2 linked regions of the Macaca mulatta genome follow. The protein of the gene in region 1 purifies or fractionates together with the protein of each later gene. This does not show direct contact. Links are inferred from orthologs where the notes say so. Each region holds a gene or a part of one and is shown on either strand. Other genes may lie near its edges.

Evidence for each region.
Region 2: the proteins of PYHIN1 (region 1) and DCAF1 purify together in Homo sapiens (affinity purification with mass spectrometry; 3 studies listed by BioGRID and IntAct, counting the BioPlex papers as one, with this or other methods). This does not show direct contact. The link is inferred for Macaca mulatta from reciprocal best matches to the Homo sapiens genes PYHIN1 and DCAF1.

The regions. Positions count from the first base shown.
Region 1 is NC_133406.1:107,979,673-107,987,713, reverse strand, and holds the start of PYHIN1 (pyrin and HIN domain-containing protein 1), read left to right. Parts: upstream 1-2,617; 5' UTR 2,618-2,828; intron 2,829-3,438; exon of another isoform or gene 3,439-3,529; 5' UTR 3,530-3,668; intron 3,669-8,003; 5' UTR 8,004-8,023; coding exon 8,024-8,041. UniProt on the Homo sapiens protein: Major mediator of the tumor suppressor activity of IFN in breast cancer cells. Promotes ubiquitination and subsequent degradation of MDM2, which leads to p53/TP53 stabilization.
Region 2 is NC_133407.1:114,891,101-114,898,648, forward strand, and holds part of DCAF1 (DDB1- and CUL4-associated factor 1), read right to left. Parts: coding exon 7,502-7,548; intron 6,208-7,501; coding exon 4,944-6,207; intron 4,094-4,943; coding exon 3,895-4,093; intron 3,418-3,894; coding exon 3,335-3,417; intron 2,064-3,334; coding exon 1,979-2,063; intron 1-1,978. UniProt on the Homo sapiens protein: Acts both as a substrate recognition component of E3 ubiquitin-protein ligase complexes and as an atypical serine/threonine-protein kinase, playing key roles in various processes such as cell cycle, telomerase regulation and histone modification.

The sequences.
Region 1 (8,041 bases):
ACAACTTACCAAAACTGTCTTGTAAGGAAATAAAACAACTAAATATTTTTATATCTATTAGAGAAAGAGAAGTTGTAACAAAAATCTTTCCATAGTGAAAGTTTTAGGAATAGACACTTTATGAATTCTATCAGACATTTGAGGATAAAAGTTTACCATGTCTATACAATCTGTTTTAGAAATGCCAGTTTGCTGTCACACCCAATTAAAGATATTACACAGAAACTAAAACAAAAACCAATTCTCACATGAAAATAAATGTAAAAACACTTTTGAAATATTGAAAAATTATACTTACCAATATACTTATCAATATGATAAATTATAATGCATCATTAAAAGTGTTTTATCTCGGGGATGTAAGATTGATTCAACATTTAAAACTCAATCACCCTTCCCTCTTCCCTGAGAAACAGAAAACTATTTACTTGAGAGACAAAAGGAGAAGGCACCTGTTTCAGGTGGCCGATGGTCATGAATGCATAAAGCAATCTTGCTAACGGAGGCTCCCATACAAATGGGTTTTGTTCTGACTCTTAGGGATAGAGAAAGGCTTTAACACTCTGCATTTCCATTTTCCTCTCTGAGATCACAAAAATTTTCACAAGCCTTTATCCTTGGGTTTACAATGGACTTTAAAAGTCCCAAATGTGGTTTGTTGGTGTGATTGCTGTTAAGAGAAAAGCTTCAGCTGAATTAAATTTAAAAGAGTTTAATTGAGCAACGAACGATTTGTTATTCAGGCAGCCTCCCAAGCCAGAGTAGGCTCAGAGACTCCAGCACAGCCACATAGTGAAAGATTTATGAAGAGAAAAAGAAAAGTGAGATACAGAAAATGGACATGAGATAGAGAGCTGGATTGCTTATAGCTCGGAGTTTGCCTTATTTGAATGCGGTTTGAACAAGTGGGCCACATTTGATTGGCCAGAACTTGGTGATTGACCCAAGAGTATACTACAGTCCATTTACACTTCCATTTAGGCCATCATTCGCGCTGCATGAAAAACCTTTAGGCTGAACTTAGAATATGTAAGAAGCCAGCTTTAGGCTAACCTTGATTTAACATTGCTCTTCTACTTACTTTTGCTTTTCTCTTTAGAGGCTTTCTGCTGTCTCCTAGACTGATGACTGGGTACAGACTGACAAACATTTTCTGTAATAAGCCATGCAGCAAAATCTTTACACTCTGCAGCCAGATGTACTCTGTTGCTTGTCAACTCTTCATTGCACCATGAAGTAGACATTGACAATGCATAAGTGAATAATCACAGCTGTGTTTCAATAAAATTTTACTTACAAAAGTGGATGGTGTGTTAGTATTGTCCCATAGGCAGTAATTTACTAACATCTTGGTTAGCATATTAATCTGGTGGGAACTTTTCCTGAGGACTTTGAATGAGCATGGGAATTAGTACTTCAGATGATAAAGTCATGCAGGTTCATCCAGACTTTTTCTCCCTTATCAGGATCTCTTGTATGTTCTATTAATGTGCTTTCTGTGTGATGGCACAAATAGCAAATTATTGCCCACTGCTTCAGAATCAGTACAAATGCACATTTTTAAAGCATTTCTTTGCTTCATCTATTACAATTTTATCTGCACAGTATGGATTACGGAGCAATGTTCTGAATTGTCTTTGGTGACAGTAATTTGTGTGTTGTATGCTGGAGTCCTAACCAAAGGCATTACTCTGCATGAAATTATTACCACAAAGGGGAGAGAAAAATGTCCTGAAACACGATAATTTCTACCAAGTTTCCTCTACTCTCTGACCTTTGAATTGGGGTAACCTGACCTTCCTAATATCCTTCTCTACCTATTATCTTAAAACCAACTCAGTGTCTCCACATTAACAGCACGTAAACCTATAAAACCATGAACACTCAAAGGTATTTTTATGGCCACCCTTCCAGATCCTCCTTGCTTTTTCTTAACTTACTTTTGCTTTGATAAAGTTATCATATGTTTCCAAATCCAGACTTCAACTATCCTCTCCGTGACCCCAGTTTGTACTAAGATGATCAGCTTTCTTCTGCTCCAAGATGGCCTCAGATCATTTGCATTATTTGTGAAGGAAACCAAAAATACTTCTCAAAATACTTAGGACTATTAAGTTAAACACACAGAAAATGCAGGGGAATATGCTGCCTCAGGCACTATTTGCCTGATGGCAGGACATAAATCCTTATTTACTGGAGAAAGCACTTGCTTTTCAGCCCAGAGAAGGCACCACCAGAAACCTGAGGAATCTGGGAACATCCCACATTTTTCCACCTTTAAATGACTGGGACTGCTTTCTCCTTTGCTTTTCACTGTAAAGGATTTATGGCTCTTTATTGAAACACTATTTAAACAAGGTTTCTAAGCCACAGCCTGGAGAGAGAAATACTTTTGAACTGAGGCCTATCCCTTATGATAGGTAGAGCACACATTAATAAACTGCTTGTTTTTCTCGTTAATTTGGCGTTTTCAGGAGAGTGTCAGCTAAGAACCTAAAAAGGGAAATTTAAAAAATATATGTTTTCTCCCCTACAGCTATATTTGGGGCCCCACTTTCCACTCACAGCCACATCCTGCTTGCAGATCTGCTGCTGGGTTAACACAACATCATCTGCCAGTTGGTGTCATTTATTTGACATCTTGGGGCTACAGTACTCTGAAGGACACCCACTGCCCTTAACAGAAAAAATACTGCTGAGAAAATGGTTTAACAGGACTCTCACCCTACCAGAAGTTCAGTGCATTTTCCAGGATTTTCAAGGCTTCGATGTTGTCATGTTGCAAGCCCACTATCCACTTGTGTTTTTCCATGAATAATGAAGAAAACGTGAGTAGTCATGAATCTAATCATTGAGGTTAAGTAACCTAGTCATAGTCAAGAGGACAGCTAGTGTTAAACTCCTTCATATATATTTGAGAAAGGATTTATATATTGGTAATAACTTTCTGATATGGAAAGCCCTAGGTTTGTCAACTATTAATAACTGGGTGAATGCTTCAGGTAGTATTTAAACCAATTGCCATTTCATAGCAGACATTCTCCCATGTGGGAGATGCAGTAAAGTACTGGTAGCAATAGATGCTCCTACCAAGATCTCCTCCTGCAACTGCCACTCTGTGCACAGGAAAGGAGGGAGAAGAAGCCACCTTGCTTCCTCTTATATTTGACAATCATTCATCGGAATAGAGGTCCCTAATGACCCACATGTAAATCTGCTGGCTAAGAAAGTTTTAAGGTTGGAACTCCATTCAGATATCAACATTTGTAAGAAAAAAAAAATTTTAAATATAACTTTGATATAAATTTTACTTTGATAAGATACCTACAGGAAAGAAACTGTTCATTTTCTCTAACAGGATGGAAAGCAAAAAACACTGGTGGGAGGTGGGAGGAGTCTGCACATTGTTTCACAACTCCTCTCTCCCTAGGGCAAAGCAGAGTGTGAGGAAGCCAGTACTAGTCAAGTGAAGCGACTCTAAGGACGGCCATTTTCCCTTACTGTCTTTGAAAATACTTCATTTTCTTAGCATTTCAGGAGATTATAACATCTGGTATTTCAGTTTCTGAGAGCTTTACTGATTGATTTTCCTACTCAAAACAATCCTCATTTCCTACATTTCTGAAGATCTCAAGATCTGGACTACTGTTGAAGAAATTTCCAGTAAGGTGAGTACTGTGGGTATTTTTGTAGAAAAGATCTAGATGTTTCCTTGAAATCCACAAAATCACAAGGGAAAAATTAATATTGGCTCTTCAGAGCAGTGGGGTGAAGGGAGTAGAGCTGGTATCAACTATATTCAGAAAAGTGAAAACTGCAGTTACTACTTCCAATTCTTTACTTACTTCAGAGATAGTAGATATCCTTTATTCTACAACTGGGGCACAAATGAAGGAATATGCATTTTGATCATTGCAGATTTTAAAACAAATTCTCTGAGTATATATTCTCTGAGGTTAGAAAGCTTGGTGGCCTCAGGGGTCTAGGCAAAAGACAAGAAAATGATTTCATTCTTTTTTATGGTTGCATAGTATTCCACACTGTATATGCACAACATGGATATAGCTGGAGAATATTATCTTAAGTGAACTAACACAGGAATACCAAATACTGCATATTCTCACAAGTGGAAGCTAAACATTGAATCCATATGGACACAAGATGGGGACATTAGACACTGGGGACTACTTGAGAGGGAAAGGTGGGAGCAGTATGTGTATTAGAAGGCTATCTATCCGGTACTATGCTCACTACCTTGGTGATGGGATCTTTGTACAACAAGCCTCGGCGACACACAGTTTACTCATTTAACAAGCCTGCACATGTACTCCCTGAACCTAAAATGAAAGTAGAAGATAAAATAAGACAAGATAATGTGGTGCACAAAGTATCAGGAAATAATATTAAGTAAAAAAGACATCTAGATGTAGAGCTGTGTTTTATGGTATTATCTCAATTTTACAAAACATATTCTCACACACAAACGTATGTGAGAACGTTTTGTAAGTAATATTCTACAAATGAAAACACAGTAGAAAATTTATCCATTTTGCAAACACAATTATTCAAATAATTTGTGTCAATATTTTCATAAGTATGTTTAACTTTTATATAAGCATCGTTCTACACCAGGTGTAAAAGGCAGTTTTTCAGTCATTTTAAGATTACTTCCTGCCCTCCTGAAAGTTAATGATTTTTTATTTTTCTAGTGGCAATGTATAGGGGAGAGGCAGGGAAGTCAATTTGAAATAGATTTATATTGCAAAGTTTAGAATTTTTCGAAGTCTTTCTGTATAGCCTCGTGCAGTATTTCAGTGTACTTGACTAGAATATGAGATTTTAAATGTTGATTTCAGAATTTATGTATGTTAGATAAATACTGCTATCAATTATGTTGCTCAAATTTGTAAAAATGTTATTTTTTTACTTTTTTCATTTAGTATTGGAAGATATAAAAACTCCTATTATAAGACGGTATTTTCCTGTACTTCTCTCAAATTTATATATATAATATATAGATATGCTCATATGCATATATATAATGTATATTACGTGTGGTATGTGATCATGCATACGTTTCTAAACATAAACATACACATATAAATATATATATTTGTGGCAATGTGTGTACATATGTGTGTATATGAAGATAAATATATATCAATATATTATCATGAAAGACTATACAATAATGAAAAATAATATACATTTATTATTATTAGATAAATCTATAATTTAAATTATTGTATCTTCCCAGGAATTCACCCTTTTACCATGTGGTATCTGATAATACTCTTTGTCTTAAGATCTTTTTAAAAATGATTCTAACATAGATAAGCTGGCTTTCTTCTAGTTTCTCTTTGCACGATAACTTAAATTTCTTTTTCACTTTTCAGTGATCTTTCACTGACAACATACATACAGAAATTTTAAATCAAATTTGATAAAAATTTTCATTTAATTAGTTAAGCTCTTTATGTATAGGCTAATAATTAACATATTTTGGCCTGTTTCTGCTATCTTCACTTCAATTTATAACTCTTCTATATTCTCCTACTTGCCTTTTTTTTTAAACTTACATTTCCATCTCACCCTCTAAGACAATTACATTAGTAAACTGTCACATTCTTTTTCTTCCCTCCCTCCACCATGTTGGTATACTTTCTGTTTCTCTTTTCTTTGATCAGGGCTTTCTTTTTAAGACATAGGCATACATAATCAAGTTCGTTTTTCATTCTTACTCGTCTTTTGGCCTGCAGCTTTTTAAAAATTTTTTTTTAATTTTCTATTGAAAAGTTCTTCCAAAAATGTTTCTGTGTGCATCTTTGTCTGGAAAAACTACTAAGGCCTTGAGGTTCAGAGAATAGTTTTCGGGGACCTTTTGTTTAAATATCATTTTGTTTAGATTGAAATTCTAGTTTTAAAAATTATTTTTTCCTTCAAGACAAGATGAGAGCATTTCTTTCGTACCTGGGAGGCTCGATATGTTTTGAAAATCAGAACTTGGAGGTTTAAAAGATTATTTAATGCACATTTTTCTAGAAACCCCAATGTTATCAGTGTCATTACTGCAAAAACAAAAGCACTAATATTTCAGCATCAAAATATATGAATATTTGTGTTTAAGTGGAATAAATAAAAATCATACATAGCCTCCTGTAATCTCACATCTGGTTTCATTTTGCAAGTTAATTGTGTTGTCATACTCACAAAACAAATCAAAACTTCCCATTTCTAAACTTTTTGTTTAGCAATTTATATGGGATTTTGGACCAGCATTATATAAAAATGATTCCATTCTCTTGTTTCAAGTAGATTTGTTGTTGAGAATCAGTTTCAATCTAATTTTTGGATCTTTGCAGGTGATATATTCTTCATTCTCAGAGGCGTATGGAGTATGTATTTGTTTTTTATATGCTTCAGTTTCACTATATGTCTTTGTATAGATTTTTTCCTTCATTCTATGCTTTTCAATCTGAGGACACTCATGTTCTCTCAAGAAGAAAGCAATTAACAGCCCCAGGAATTTAAATATCTTAATTACATAAGAGGTACACAAATACATGCTTTCTATAATTAAAATATTTGTTTTGGTATTTGTTTTTATTGAGATGGAGTTTTGCTTTTGTCACTCAGGCTGGAGTGCAGTGGCATGATCTCTGCTCACTGCAGACTCCACCTCCCAGGTTCGGGTGATTCTGTTGCCTCAGCCTTCCAAGTGGCTTGGATTACAGGCACCCACCACCATGCCTGGCTAACTTTTGTACTTTTAATAGAGACAGGGATTCACCATGATGGCCAGGCTGGTCTTGAATTCTTGACCTCAGGTGAACTGCCTCCCTCGGCCTCACAAAGTGCTGTGATAATTTAAAAAGGAATTAGGAATCCATAGCATGCTTTGTGTGTCATCATGTGCTAAAGTGCACTGGTGCTAAAGAGGTCCAGAGGAGTAATACTGTGTCCTTAAGGGGACTCTGAAAATTTCTAGAAGGCAAACTCTCAGTTGAGTCTTAAAGGTTGTAGGAGAGGTAGTTAGAGAGAGGAATGTGGGCATAGCTTTCCAGGCAATGAGAAGAGAACTAGCAAAGTCATGAAGCATGAAAATGTTTTATACTTCTGAATCGTAAGATATAAGGAACACACAAGTGCCAGAAGTTTAAAAAAGAAAAAAGAATGCAGATTATTCAAAGTTTTCTGAAACCAATACAAGAAGCAAGGAATGTATTGAAAAGAAAATGAGCAAATATTGAAACATTTCAGTGGGATAAAAATGTGTTTTATAGAGATAAATGTGGATCTGTTAAATGAAAATGAAATAGACAAATCGAGCCTAAAAGAAAAATCAAGCAACTATCAAAATATTCCAGCCAATAAATCCTGTGTTCTGCAATAGAGAAAATGTAGATGTCCAGGAAAGTGATAGTTTTATGGGCACAGAGGACAAATACGGCAGGGTCCAACACCAAGGAAGAGGATACTAATGATAGCTGACAAGAGAAGAGTTAAGGAGAATAGGGTCTGTGTCCCAGCATGAAACTGTAGTGCTGTAGCAGAAAGTTATTCATATAAGATGGGAGGCTGCAGCCCATTTACACCTAGGCCACTCCAGTCATAGTGGTGGGTGTGGGAAGATTTAAGAAACAACAGGCAGGTTTTGGGGGATAGGCCCCAGCCCCAATAAAGGATGGGAAGAGGAACCAAGGACTTTGACACTGCACAGCCCATACTCTAAACACTGAGACAATTGCTTGTTCACAGACCTCCTCCTAACACCTGGACCCAATTCAACTATCCTCATTCAATGGGAAGAATTACTTGGACATTCCTAAAGAAACAGTTCTTCACTCAATTTCTACAGTAACACATTTGGTCATTAAGTCCTTCTTTATCACACATATTCATGAACAACTCTTTCTTATGGGCCACTCATTCACAGAGGCATACATCTTCTTTTAAATTGTCTGTATATGTGTGTAACACTGTCTACCATTTTTCTCTTGTAGGCTTACTTATATCTTTAGAGATGGCAAATAACTACAAG
Region 2 (7,548 bases), on another chromosome or scaffold:
CCAGGCTGGAGTGCAGTGGCACGATCTCGACTCACTGCAACCTCCGCCTCCCAGGTTCAAGCAATTCTTCTGCCTCAACCTCCTGAGTAGCTGGGAATAAGGCGTGCGTCACCACGCCCAGTTGATTTTTGTATTTTCAGCAGAGATGGGGTTTCACCATATTGACCAGGCTGGTCTCGAACTCCTGACCTTGTGATCCACCCGCCTCTGCCTCCCAAAGTGCTGGGATTACAGGTGTGAGCCACCACTCCTGGCCAGGCACCTCTTTTTCTCGGGGTTCCATTCTGCCTTACTGGCCACTATATTTGATTTCCTTCCCAAGTTCCTCATTTGGCAACTCCTAAACACATGGCAGGGTTGTGTACCCACAACTCTTCTATAGTCCCCTTGATGATCTCATATAAGTTCATGGCTCTAAATACTATCAGCTGGGGACAGTGACTCATGCCTATAATGCCAACACTTTGGGACACCAAGGAAAGTGGATCACTTGAGCCCAGGAGTTCGAGACCAGCGTGGGCAACGTTGGGGAGATGCCGTCTCTACAAAAGTACAAAAAAATTAGCCAGATGTGATGGTGCTTGCCTGTAGTCCCAGCTACTCAGGAGGCTGAGGTAAGAGGATTGCTTGAGTCCAGGCAGTCAAGGCTGTGGTGAGCTGTGATCATGCCACTGCACTGCAGCCTGGGTGATAGAACAAGACCCCATCTCAAAAATAAATAAATAAATACTATCAGTATGTGGACAAGTCCCATTTTATATTTCCCAACCCACACCTCTCTCCTGAACTCCCAATTTTTCGTTGTTTTTGTTTTCAGACACAGGGTCTCACTTGTTTACTCAGGCTGGAGTACAGTGACACAATCGTAGCTCACAGCAGCCTCCAACTCGTGGGCTCAAGCAACCCTCCTGCCTCAGCTTCCTGAGTAGCTGGGACCACAGGTCCCAAGCCCACCAAGCCCAGCCGATTTTGTTTATTTTTTGTAGAGATGGGGGGAGTCTCTCTCTGTTGCCCAGACTGGTCTCGAACTCCTGGCCTCCCACCTCAGCCTCCCAAAGTGCTGAGATTAGTCTGGCCAACTCCCAACTTTTGTATTCAATCTCCATTCTCTACTTGAATGTCTAACAGAATCTCAAATTTCATGTGTCCAAAATCCCAGGGCCAAGGCCCTCCATTTCTCATAGCCTCTACCATGCCTACCCAGGCCCAAACCCGCAGCTCCTCTCATGTGTCAAGTGGTACAACTCCCTCTAACCTGGAAGGCTGCTCTTGCTTCTCTCACAAAAACCAGAGTCATACTTTAGGAACTTTACATCCACTCATGTATCCTCTACTCACCCTCCAGTGTGTTCATCTCACTCAAAAGAAACGCTAAAGGTCCTAACTATCACCTACAAGATGCCACCAGATATGGGCCCCTCACTGACCTCAGCTCTCCTCTCACCTCCCAAGCAAGGGCTTTCCCTTGCCATTTCCTGTGCCTCACGCTGTTCTTCCAGGTATCTTCCTGAACCTCGTGTTTCCTTCAAGGCTCTGCTTAAACATTACCCCATCAGTGATGCTGTCTACCCTAGATAACAGAGAAGTCCCCCCACACCACCACCGATTTCCTACCTCTTACCTTGCTTTCATTTTCTCTGAAACACTTACCACCTAAATTCACCATATATTTATTTGCTTCTTTATTGTCTCCCCAAAGAGGGTCCCTAAAGGCAGGGACTTCATTTCTAATGTAAAACTTACTAAGAATTCAAAAATATCTGTGGCGCTAATGACATCTTTCTCAATGTCACGTTGAGCCCTTACACATTTTTCCCATACAGCTCAGAACTATATTATCACACTTTCAGATTCTAACTGGAAGGAATATCATTAATTTCTAGTTGCCCAAAGGACTTAGGTCCTCACATTCTATCAAGATTTCAGTATGAACAAACGGGCATAATCAGCTTGAAAACAGTGGTTCTTAAGTACTTACGTGGGCAATGTCTCCTTTTGTGCCGATGACCCGATCCTGGGAGTGCTTACTGAACTCAACATAGTGATCTTCTGTGAAGGAATGCCTGTGGACAAACAGGAGCACTGAAGTGACAGATCTTCAGGACATATTCCTGCAACCAACTGAAACATGGGTGACCCCCAGCCTCTTGCACAATCACACTCACCTAAAGATCCTGGACTCCCAAAGAGGAAACAATCATACACTTAGATTACAAAGAAAATTTCTTCTATCAGCTTGTCCAAGCAGATACAAAATAATGAATGGGAATTCCTTAGAGAAATGACAAACAGGGCATACGTGCCTTTGAAACACGCAGCAAAGGGGCCAGCCACGGTAGCTCACTCCTATAATCCCAGCACTTTGGGAGGCTGAGGCAGGTGGACTGCCTGAGCTCAGGAGTTCGAGACCACCCTGGGCAACATGTCAAAACCCTACCTCTACCAAAATTGCAAATTAGCCAGGCATGGCGGCACATGCCTGTGGTCCCAGCTAATCAGCAGGCTGAGGTGGGAGGATCACTTGAGCCTGGGAGGCAGAGGATGAAGTAGGTCATGCTTGTGCCACTGCACTCCAACCTAAGTGACAGAGTGAGACCCTGTCGAAAGAAGGAAAGAAAAGAAAAAGCCGGGCACAGTGGCTCATGCCTGTAATCCCAGCACTTTGGGAGGCCGAGGTGGGCAGATCAACGAGGTCAGGAAATCGAGACCATCCTGGCTAGCATAGTGAAACGCTGTCTCTACTAAAAATACAAAAAATTAGCCAGGCGTGGTGGCTGGCGCCTGTAGTCCCAGCTGCTCAGGAGGCTAAGGCAGGAGAATGATGTGAACCCAGGAGGCGGAGCTTGCAGTGAGCTGAGATCAGGCCACTGCACTCCAGCCTGGGTGACAGAGTGAGACTCCGTCTCACAAAAAAAAAAGGAAAAAAAGAAAAGGAAAGGAGACGAGAGGAGAGAGAAAAGGAGAGGAGAGGAGGAAAGAGAGGAGGGGAGAGGAGGGGAGAGGAGAGGAGGGGAGGGGAGGGGAGGGGAGGGGAGGGGAGGAGAGGAGAGGAGACACAGCAAAGACGGCAATGTCCTATGTGAACACGGGAAAATACATAGATTCTGGGTCAGGGTCTGCTGCATAATGAGAATGTATATACCTCATAAAAATATCTAGGAATTAAGAAAGATAAAGTCTTATTAAACATGAGTCTTAGATGAGGAAGAGAGAAGTTAACAATAACTGACAGCATCCTCTTTCCCCAAAAGCTTCGTCTAAAAACCAAATGAAAGGGGGTCTAAACAAACTAGGTAAATAAAACACAGACTAGGTTCCAAAAGCAGATACATACTTCATATCAAATACTGATTTCATTCCCCAAAGTGCAGACAAAGGCTGGCTCCAAGTAGCAGATGTCAGCAGCAAGGACCCATCCTAAAAGAAGGCACAAGGTGGGTAACCGTGCATTTACATACATGCAGATGTCACTACCTGCCATTAGCATTTTTAAATATATGCATAAAAATGTTGTTGAATTAAAGAGAAAATTTTATAACCCACAGAAACCAAGAAATGGTCAGAAGCCACTATGATTTGAATACATATACCTATAGTGTCCTAGAAAATAACTAAACTTAGGAGAGTATTAAATCCTACTGAACTAGCCACAAAAATAGAACAGATAAAAGGGAGGTGGGAAAAATGAGACGATGTCAAAGATAGTTCCTTTCTTCCTAATAACTTTGCCATATTCCTCAGTCTCCATCTGAAATATGAGTTAACCTCAACCAGACTTTCCAGTTGAGAACTCATTTAAAAGAGAGAGCTCAATAAAGGGTAAGCCTCCTTTACTCTAGTTCACTAATTCATCTTGGAAGAATGACTGACAGCATCCTAGGAAGGAACCCTTACCCTGGAAGGTTCAAGATGTGTGATGGCTGAGTTGTGACAGTTATAGCTGGCCTCCTCCTGTCCACTAAACACATTATAGAGCTTCAGCTGCCCTGTGCAGGTGCCAAGCATCAGGAACCGCTCCCGAGCTGAGAATGCACAGCAGGTGAAGCCACTCTCATCTTCATTGGCTTCCCGGAACACTGAAATAGGACGGAATCTAAGCACAAAAAAAAGGAGAGAATCAGAGGCAAAGAATGTGCAGGGACTCAGAAAAAGCAAACTGCTAGGACAGAAGAAAAAGCACAGAACATTAATGTTTCAAATGGGTTCTTCCAAAATCACAGTGACCTTCAGTGCTTTTTATTTTAAATAAGAAAAATATTTCCACTTACAAATTTAAATAACAAAAATTCCCATGTTTAGGCCAGACGCAATGGCTCACAACTGTAATCCTAGCACAGGTGGGGGGATCAGTTGAGGTCAGGAATTCAAGACCAGCCTGGTCAAAATGGTAAAACCCCATCTCTACTAAAAATGCAAAAATTAGCTAGATGTGGTGGCGCCTGCCTGTAATCCCAGCTACTTAGGAGGCTGAGGCAGGAGAATCACTTGAACCTGGGAGGCAGAGGTTGCAATGAGCCAAGATTGCACCACTGTACTCCAGCCTAGGCGACAGAGACACTCCATCTCAAACAAACAAAAAAAAAAATTCCCATGTTTAAAACCTGTGATCCCATAACCTTTATGTAAGATTTGTCAAGAATCAGAACAGGAAGCCACTTGCAACAGCACAAGTTTGGGAGCCTCCTTATGGACAGTAATGAGGGGGTGTGGGTTCTAGAAAACATACTAGTTGAGATGAGAACACAAAGGATTATATCAATATACTGCCAACAATCACACAAGGAGCCCATGGTTGACAAAAGGTGATACAATTACATTGTTCAAGTATTACACAAAGTGACAATCAGTGGTATTTCAAGCCAACTATGCTGATACTGCCCAATTTGATTTAAATAAAAGAATCGTTCCAATTCCCAGAGAGTAAGAAGGGGCCTTCTTCTTACCTGCTAAAGATAAGGTGCCTATCAAAGCATCCGCCATCCACCCCTCCATACTTTGGAAATGATGCCCTGCGGTTTAGCCTTGAGGTAAAGTTTATTGGCGCTTGCCGCCTCTGTTTTGGCTCAGGACATTGGTGAGGAGTAAAGAGGGAGAAAGGTGGGCAAGTGGCAACTGGATTCTTGCAGCGAGCATGTTGTTCTCTAAGATACTCTGTGATTATACTGTCCAGCGTAGGTGGGGAAGGAAGATGTCTGTCCAGCTGCTTTTTTATGGCTGGGCTTTGGCTGTAGGCGCCATGGTCCGACTTCTGCCGCAACACTCTGATTTTCCTGCCATTACAGGGTGACGGCCTCTCTCTGATAAAACTGATCCTACCAATCAAAGGGGAGTTGCCAGCATAAGATGGGCCGGGCAGAGCTAGTGGACCCTGGGGAGGCCGTGGCTGAGGATGGGCAGTGGGGGCAGAAGGGGCAGAGGCACCCACGGCAGCATGGCTGCCCAGTCGAGTTGCAATGCCATTAGCGATACGAGGGGTTCGGGGTAGAGAGACAGGAGAAGCAGCAGCAGTGACTGGGGTAAAGGCAGAAGAATGGGAGGCAGCAGTCATGGGCAGGTCGGCCTCTTTTGTCAGCACGGTTGCTGTTTCTCCAAGCCCTTTAGAAATAAGATGGTTTCGTATCAACAAAAGCAGCTCTTTCTCAGGGAAGGAGATCCTTGACTGGGCAACAACATCTGCTTTCTGCAGTCGTGCTAGGGAAACATCAGTGCCAATGAGAAGTGGTTTTCCTGACACCCGTTCAATGAGTTCAGCAGCATACTTGCAGAACTTGACATGGTCACTGCGCTTGTCCTGCAGCACAGGCTCCTTCATCAGCTGCTGGATCTGGCAGCTGCTGAAAAGGGGCAGTTTACTGATGATCTGCCGGACAGTGCTACTGCGAGACAGGCCCACCAGGGCCTTGCAGGCCAGTGCCCGGATCTGGTCTGCATCTGTGATGGGCATCTTAATGGACAGTAAGGACAGGAGCACCTTGATGCCGTTGTTGGACTGAACCACATTCCACATCTTGGCCAGGGTGTGCTCACTGCTTTTGGGGTTCTGAGGCAGCTTTCTCCGAGGAGTACCAGAGATAAATTTACCAATACTGGATATGCGGTTATCTGGGCCACACACACAATTGATGATAATCTGAAGTGCTGACTTCTGAATTTCAGCATCATGGATGAAGAACTCACCCTCAGCCACTCCCAAAATAATGCTGATACCTAATGGGAAAAAAAAAATTCTGTATTATTCATCATAAAACTAATGACCAATTTCAATAGTTGTTCCAGAGTCAAAATTTGGTGTTCCACTCACTTTGTTTTACTTTAAAAAACTACATTATTTTTGTAAAAACTGCAAGGAATTGTTTGTATAAAGTACAATCAGTTCTACTACAATGTATTTTTATGATCTCATATGCAGTTATTAAATAGGGAAATTATGTCATAATTATGGAAAAGTCACCAAGGTTCGTGTGTAATTTTTTCTGGTTTTATTATTTTTTTGAGGCAGAGTCTTGCTCTGTCACTCAAGCTGGAGTGCAGCGGCACGATCTCGGCTCACTGCAACCTCCGCCTCCCAGTTCAAGTGATTCTCCTGCCTCAGCCTCCTGAAGAGCTGGGATTACAGGCGCCTGCCACCACGCCCAGCTAATTTTTATATTTTTAGTAGAGATGGGGTTTCACCATGTTGGCCAGGCTGGTCTGGAACTCCTGACCTCAGGTTATCCACCCGCCTCAGCCTCCCAAAGTGCTGGGATTACAGGTGTGAGCCACTGCGCTCGGCCTTTTCTGATTTATTAATTTTAATACATTAAAACCTTAGGAATGGAGAAAGCCCTCAGTTGGGCTGCTACTGTGGAAGCAGAACCCTTTCTACTTTATTTTAAGAAAATTAAAAACAAGTGCCTGTGTCTTAGTCCTATCCTGCATCTTGTCCTGTCACACAACTTCCCATGCTCACCCCAGCAGTGCCCTGATCACCCCTGCTCTTAATAATGTATATTATCAAAGTGTATTTTCCTTTTTTTATATATGTATGATGGTTTCTACCCATTTTGAGCTACCTGCCAATTACTAACTCAGGTTACAAAATTGCTCACTTTGTTTTTTTTTCCCCTTTAACTCCTGGAAAGCTGTGATGCTTAAGTTTTTTACTATCTGCCTCAACCTATTTTTCCCATGAACTTTTAGTGCAAGACTCTGCAGAGTGTGAGCTTTTCAGGAAAGCTATAATATACCATTATAGCAGAAATGCCAGAAAACCTGAGTTTACTAGCATGACCCCCTTAAATCAAACTATCTGGTACTACGTTTGTATTTTTGTTTTCTTTTTTTTTTTAATTAGTTTCTGATCTGCTGAATGGTATTCCTTATAAAGGACAGACAAGGAGCCCCCCTCTACTACTTTTGTTCTGAAATCCAAAATTAGGTCAGGTAGGTAACCACAACCAGAGTGGCAAAGAAAAAACAAACCCAGACCAAGAAACAACAAAAATGGCAAAATATAACCTACCTACAGTAGAGACTGTAGATCCAGCCTCATCCAACACGTCCACTGAT